Linked DNA regions of Coturnix japonica. The protein of the gene in region 1 purifies or fractionates together with the protein of each later gene. This does not show direct contact. Links are inferred from orthologs where the notes say so. Each region holds a gene or a part of one and is shown on either strand. Other genes may lie near its edges. The genes, in order: NUDCD1 and DHX15.

Region 1 (3,824 bases):
CTCTATAGCCTGTTACACCAGCACATAGCAGAGTGGAACAATCCCTTCCCTTGCCTGGCTGGCAGTGCTGGGCCTGATGTACCCCAGGGCATGGTTGGTCCTTTTGGCTGCCAGGGCACACTGCTGACTTGTATTCAGCTTCAATCAACCAGAACTCTCATATCCCTTGCTGTGGGGCTGCTCTCCTGCTTCTCATTCCCCAGCCTGTACAAAGTCAGGTTTGCCCTGTTCCAGGCACAGAATTTGGCACTTCCTCTTGTTCAGCTTCATATAGGTGATGATTGCCCAGCCTTCTAATTTGTCAGCAGCTCTCTACAAGTTCTCTTTACTTTCAAGTGTTGACAGTTCCTCCCATTTTTGTGTTATCTGCAGACTTACTTAATACTAGTGAGCAGCAAAAGGAAGATTAGAAGAGCATTTTCTTTCTTTCCTTTGAGCTGGGAGGCTTTGTGATGTGAAGACTTTTTTAATTAAAGTTTTCAGAATTGTTGACTCCTGTCACTCCACTTCAGTGTTGATAAGTGTAATGAGGGCTTTAGAAGATTAAATGATCGACAGTTGATAGTTCTTTAAAACACAATTACATCAATAACTATTTGAAGCTTACTGTTATGATTCACTTGAAGGCTGTCAGAAGTGTGGTCTTCTATGGTGTTGCATAGAATATGCCTGTAATTTGTAGTTCTGGGGCTGAAGCTTTTTCTTTCCGCAATTTTCGTTCTTTTTTCCCATTCGCATCAGTCACTTCTTACCATGGAATGGTAAGAAATATCAGAAAATACTGCCTTTCAGTAAAACCTTAAGAAATTCAAGCAGAAAATGAGGATGTCGGAAATGCTTGGGTGTAGAGTGTGGTTTTTTTTCTTCCTTTGTTTATAATTCTTTCATTCAATCTTTCTGAATGTGTTCTAAATTAGGTGAATAACTGAAGGGTTGTAGTGATGCAACTGAATCTACAGAGTGATCCTGAATGCTACTAGAAATTATAAATCTAATTTGCATCTTTTCTATTGCAGATTTCAGAGTCGTAGAGAAAAGTAATCTCTAATACAAATTCAAGTAGATCCAGAAGACAGTCAGGCTATCTGTTTGTCATCTGGTCTTTTTCAGTGATGCTTATTAAAATGGTACTTACCCAAATCCAGTTTAGCTTGCCTTACTTTGAACATGTTCTAGATGCATATCTGATTTTAATACCATTTGGAAAATACGATAGATTTGAAATCGTCTCTAATACGATAGTCTCAAGTCTATGTCATGCTTGTATGCACGAATGTGGTCTTTCTGTGTTGTATATGTGTGCACAAGTTGAGTAAGAAAGAGGGTTAAAGTTTGTTTTAGTTTAGAAGTCAGTGTAAATTAACTTTTTTTTGTACATTTCTATGGCTTTTATTTCATTTAAGGTCTCCAGGTTCTTAGTGGGATTAAAACTGTGAGGTGAGTGATAAATTCTATGGGAATGTTAGGAAAAAAGAAGTAAAAAACTTTTAAATGCAAAATGTAAATTAGTGCTGTGAATTTGAAGGGAAAAAAATGGTGTTGAAATACCAATTATAAAACACTTAAGTTTTCAGTAAACAGACTGAATACTGAAATTCTACCACCTCTTCCTCATATGTGGAAGTGATGCTTGGCTACCTACATTTTTCCTAATAGGCTCAATTACATGAGCTGACTGGTGAATTGCTGTTGAAGTTTGTTGTTCATTTTTCTGCAATGCTGAAATTGATTAGTACTTCATAAAGTGACTCTGCTTACAGGACACTGCTCTCCAAAAACCAAGAGAAGTTTTCAGGCTACCTACAGATTTGACAGCTTATGATGATCGCCTTTGTGCCTCAATGTACTTCTCATCTTCCACATGGGTTACCATTTCTGATGGAACAGGAAGACTATATTTAATTAAGTCAGGCAAGCGTGGAAACAGTGCATCGGAAAAATGGGAGGTAAGTCTTAAAATAGCACATTAAGAATTGTATATTTACCAAATAATTCTTACTCCTGCACTTAATAGGAGAATTGCATGCATATAATGTTATGAAAAACGAAGCTTTCAATCTTAACTCTGTGGTTGATATTGGGCTGTGTCCAAACATAAAGATCATGTGAATTATTTCTTGAAGTGAAAGAAAAAAATCTGTAAAATTCAAATGGTTGAATGGAAACAGCAAACAGCCTTTTTACGGGAAAAGAATCTGTCTGAAGAGAGCGAGTGTTTCTAAATAGGTGACTGCACACCTGTCAAGCTGAACTTATAATAAGAACCATTTTCCCTTTCCCTTCTCTATTCTTATGGGTCAGCCTAAGTTTTCCTTCCACTATCACATTATTTCTTCTGACCCATGGAATAATAAGTACGTTTTAAAATGCCTGAAATTATTGTCAAGCTAAATGCTACTTTTCATTTTGTTAGAGGGTTTCTAGATCACTTGTGCTGATGTAATTGCATTTGAAATGTTCATCATTTTAATTTGACCTGTCTTAAAAGTGTGTCCATGGTGAATAAAATAAAAATTAAAGAAAACTGATGATTAAAAACCTTTTATAAGTAGCCCCGAGGGCTTTATGCAGAGTAGGTATAATCTAAATTGTAATATTTCCACCTCTCTGGGAGAGAAATTTTTCATGCTGTACACTTAGCTCTGGAGAATTATTGGTGCTTAGTATTTTTTATTTAACTTTGTGGTTGTAACTGAAGCACGTTTCTCATTAAATAGGTTACAAAATCACTTACTTTAAACCATCTTGAGAAGGAGCGTTTCTGATATCCACGGAGCAGTGGTGTTTCCATAGCAATAATGCTATTAGTTCTACAAAACAAATGTAGTTATGGTACATTTCTGCTTCAGCTGCTATAAGTTTTGGTCTGTTGTTTCTCTTTATTTCTGAAGGATGAATTTGATATTAAAGTACCACATTTTTCATGCAACTTTTTAATTAGAGGATAGTTTTATACACAGCCAAGGAGCTTTTAATATTGGCAGGAAGTCAAACATATACCTGGAAGTGGAGGATTTCTACATGGTGGAATAACTCCTTCCCCTGTACAATTTGAAAGTTCAGTCAAAAGGAAGCCAGTTACCCTGTTCTGTAGTGCAGATATTTTTGTAGAGTTTTGTGCTTGATCTAGTGGACCATTTTAATGATTCTATCATATAAACAGTAATAAAAAGGACACTTTCTTGATAGCTAAGGAAGGAACTGCTAGAAATACATAGAATAGTTCTGCTAGAAGAGAACTTCAGGTCACACACCAACTGTGTGACCACTTCAGGGCTAACCAAAAGTTAATGTGATTTGTGGCGAGCATATTTAATTAATTGATTTAATGTTCTCTGAAGCTTTCACTAATTTTTGAGTTTTAACTGACTAACCTTTTTCTACCATTTTGCCTTCCAGACTGTGTTTAGTGAAGAACTAGGCAGTCCATTCGTTATAGTACACAGTGTTTCATTTGTAAAATCTGATAAACATTCAATAGCTGTGCTACTGCTCAGGGTAGAAAAAGATGAATTGGACACAAAAGGAAGTGGATTTCATATTACTTTGGAATGGGTTACATTTGTAGAGATGAACAAAGCGGGTAAGTGTTTTATATTTATGTTATTAGTAGGTAAGGGGAAAAAAACTAAAACCAAACAAACAAAAAAAACAAAACAAACAAACAAAAAAAAACAAAAACTGCAAAAGAAAAACAGCTATTATGCTTTCATTAATTGTTTTGGATGTTGATTGTTCCTCAATTTCTGATGTTTGCATCCCAACAAAACCCTCATCACACTTTAAATTCAAGTTCTCACTTGTAGACCTGCAGTATGACAAAC
Region 2 (3,824 bases), on another chromosome or scaffold:
GACAGGCACCAACCTACCACCACCTCCGCAATTAAGCATACCATTAATTTAAGAAATTAAAGATTCTGCCCTGCCCATCTGCTCTGAGTCTGAACAATCATAACTCTGCAACAAACATTTTAGCTTGCTTTTTAAAAACTTTCATATAAATACACTGTAAGACTTAACCAAAGCAGATTTTGAACTCAGATTTTTTTCTAATTGTCCAAGTCAAGCACATAACCAGCAGTACAACTGCAAAGAGCCTGTTAAATAGCACACCCTGAAGACATCGCAGTAATTATGAATACAGAACATCCTGACTTTCCTAAGAACAAAATCTTGCTGCTTGTCCTAGAGAGACCAACTATAAAATGAAGTCAGTTCTATGTAAACTGAGCAATGAGATGCAAGGCTTGCTTGACAACATCTTACTCTCCAGATCTCTCTTGACAAGCAGCTGTTATGACAGGGCTATTCACTTTATGCAAGGTACAGCTGTGCACACAAATTAACTATTAAAAATATACACCCTCCCCCAAACTCTCTTTCCTTTAGAAGTAATGAATGCTCTTTAGCTTCCCAATAAAATTAATCACTAAAAATCTTATCACGTAGAAGTTTAGCAGTTCAATATAATTTGTGCTCTAATTCTTTTGGAAATACTGGCATGTATCAAAGTGCAAAGAATACACAATAGAGAATAGATTTCACTGCCGTAAAAGCAGAGTGGTTAGCCAGCATTTTTAGTCCTGATTATGAAACTAAAAATAAATTTCCATTCCACTAGATCGAAATTTTCTATGAACTCAAATAAATGTATTTTAACTAAAAGTTAGTCAAAAAGTTTGATCCTATCTATGCATGCTGATTTCTTCACTTTAATGATTATTTGCTGCAGGTCTACAAGCAAACCCATAATGGATTAAATTTCTGACAAATCAGTTTTTAATAAAAATAACTTCAGATTTCTTATGCTTTTCACGCGGAAAGGTCAAACTTCCCCCAAACTCAAGATCTGCACTTTGGTATCCCTTTCCTTAATATTACCTGACAACATGGCAGTAATAGATAGGACCTCATTAGAACAGTTGTAGTCACAACTTGCAATAACCATTTTAGCCAGTTGTGGGTCCAGTGGAAATTCAGCCATCATGGATCCCAACTCGGTCAAGTCTCCATCATCATTTAAAGCAGCCAGATAATTCAAGAGCTCTAAGGCTCTCATCAGAGTTTCAGGAGCTGAAAGAAATATTTAGGTAGTTACATTAATCAAAGTGCAATGAATAAGCAAGAATGAGAGTGCACAGATGACCTTGTTTTTCACTCTCCGTTCAGATGGCTTCCAAACACAAAACTGTTACCAAATCCAATCATAAACACCCAGATATGAATCAACTAGTAGATAAAAATCGCTAAAAACAGCTACTAACTGGTTCAAAGTCTCTGAATATTTGAAGAGTACTACTTTCCAAGATTCAAACAGCAGAGGCATTGTTAAATATTCACTTAGTAATATCAATTGTCTCTGACATCTTTCTTATTCGCAGAAAACAAACTGAGTACAGTCCCAGAATTTCAACCACGTACTTTAGATATCCATGTTCTTCCACAATCTGAACTTTTAAGAACTTCCCTGAAATCTGCATTTCTTAGAGCGAGAGTACAGTACACACACACAAAAAAAAAAAAGAATCCAGACACCTGCTAAGTTAGCATACAAACCACAAAGCACTGCACTGCATTAACAAAGAAGTTCAGTGAAACTGCTTAAATGCTTATATACGTTAAGTTTTTATTTCAAGTAGAAAAACTCAACCAGCTTTGATGTATTTATAGAAAGCCAATCTGTGAGTTTAATTTGCAACGCAACCTTGTTATTTTCAAGGTATTTCTAACATTTAATACTTTTACAAGAAAGATATAGACTAAGCCAAAAAAGCATGTATTCAGCTTTAAAATGCTAGCCAATTTTATTTACATGCAGTTAACTGATGTGCAATTAGAAAGCGTAATCAAGGTGATGAGTAAAAAATTCACTCAGCAATAGATTTTTTTAATGCACATAATTTAGCCATACCCTTGTAGTTAAGAACATTCAGTAGATTTCCACTTTCCACTGGAAGCTCTTAGGCAAACAGCGTTATTAAGAGAGTTGTTTTGTAAGACACAGCACTAAATAAACAAAGATGTTCCTTTTGGATTATGATAAAAAGTGGGAAATAACATTTTACATCATTGTATAAAATATTCAACAAAATTAAAGACTGCGGAAGTTGTCTATGCCTGTAGCAGACAAGAAAATATGGAACAAATACCTGGAGGATCCATAAAATCAAAGTGCACCAAATCGTCTATACCAAGCTTCTTGAGCTGCAACACTACAGATCCCAAGTTAGACCTCAAAATCTCAGGGTACGTGTTATCCTAAGGGAAGGAAAAAGAAAACGTACAGTACTGTGAACTTTGGTCCTTGGAGGAACAAGCATTCAAATTTTGATTTTGCTTGGCAGCACAGCAATTGGCTACTTGGATCAAGTGCTCTTACACATGTACTCCAAAAAGAGTAATCTTACCTGCATTTCAGTTTTGTAAGCCTTCTCTGTGTACAGCCTGAAGCACTTGCCTGGTCTGGTACGACCAGCACGGCCAGCTCGCTGCTGTGCAGAAGCTTTACTAATTGCAGTCACCAAGAGAGACTCCACTCTGATACGAGGATTATATACCTATTTCAAAGTGGAATAGGAGCAGAAAAAGGAGATGAATGAATATCACTCAAGGTAAGACTTATCTCAAAATAAAGACAGCTTTAAATTTATTTTCAAATGCAACTTTGGACGAGAAAAACACAAGCTGTATGAATCTGAAAGGAAAAAACAATTTTGGCTACATAATTCTTTAAATCAGTTGACAAAAAACCTCAATAGAACTGCCTAGAAAACAGCAGTTACTTTTAATTCTTTTATTAACATCATCTCCTGCCAGGCTTCCCATCCTACTTAAATGCGTGTGTATTTTTAGATAAGAATTTCATGGCAGAACTAATGTGTCTAATTTGTTCTACAGAGTGCTAAACACACTCTTGATGCTCAAGTAATTCCACGCAAAAACAAGTTGTCTTGACACAATTATAAGGTTGAATAATTGTGTTGCAGAGGTCAGAGAAATGTAACGTTAAGGCTTGAACGCAACTGTAAAATCACACTGATTATAAAGCAAGACTACTTCAGGGCCACGTGTAGACTTTCACATGCAGTCATACATAAACAGCAGCTCACCCCCAGGGTTCATGAAAAAGATGATAAAGCAAAAACAATCAACTTCAGATGAAAACATCCTCTGGTTCATGGTTTAACACCCTCCTGGTATGAACAGGTATAAACAGCAATCAAAACCTTCAGTTCTTATTACAGACAGCATTCAGCCAGAAGAGCTGCTCACAAAAAGAGTTACGCCTAAGTGATGATTACAACTCCTGTATGGAGCTGCATCACCTGTACTCACATTCTATTGTATCTCAGACCACAGAAGAGAGAAAGTCTGACAACATGCATGAGTGTTAAAGGAAAAGCCTTTAAGAAACCAAGTTATGAAGACAGTTACCAGTAAAAGGACTCAATTAAGTTTAAAAGACTAGAATTTTGTTCTATATTTAGTTCTTGGTTTGACTGCAGGCAATCTACTTCAGTTTTCTGAAGATTTTCAGAGGTGCGAGAGCTCCCAATAAACACTGACAAGAAAAAATACTAGCCTGGGTAATTTCTTCTCTCTTCTCACTTTAGAGCTAGTTTCCCATGCTAACATGATATAAACAGGTAACTTCTAGCACCTATTTCACTTACTTT

What was found.
Region 2: the proteins of NUDCD1 (region 1) and DHX15 purify together in Homo sapiens (co-immunoprecipitation; 3 studies listed by BioGRID and IntAct, with this or other methods). This does not show direct contact. The link is inferred for Coturnix japonica from reciprocal best matches to the Homo sapiens genes NUDCD1 and DHX15.

What each region holds. Positions count from the first base shown.
Region 1 is NC_029517.1:119,473,709-119,477,532, reverse strand, and holds part of NUDCD1 (nudC domain-containing protein 1), read left to right. Parts: intron 1-1,760; coding exon 1,761-1,946; intron 1,947-3,399; coding exon 3,400-3,583; intron 3,584-3,824.
Region 2 is NC_029519.1:66,730,326-66,734,149, reverse strand, and holds part of DHX15 (pre-mRNA-splicing factor ATP-dependent RNA helicase DHX15), read right to left. Parts: intron 2,706-3,824; coding exon 2,556-2,705; intron 2,407-2,555; coding exon 2,298-2,406; intron 1,222-2,297; coding exon 1,030-1,221; intron 1-1,029.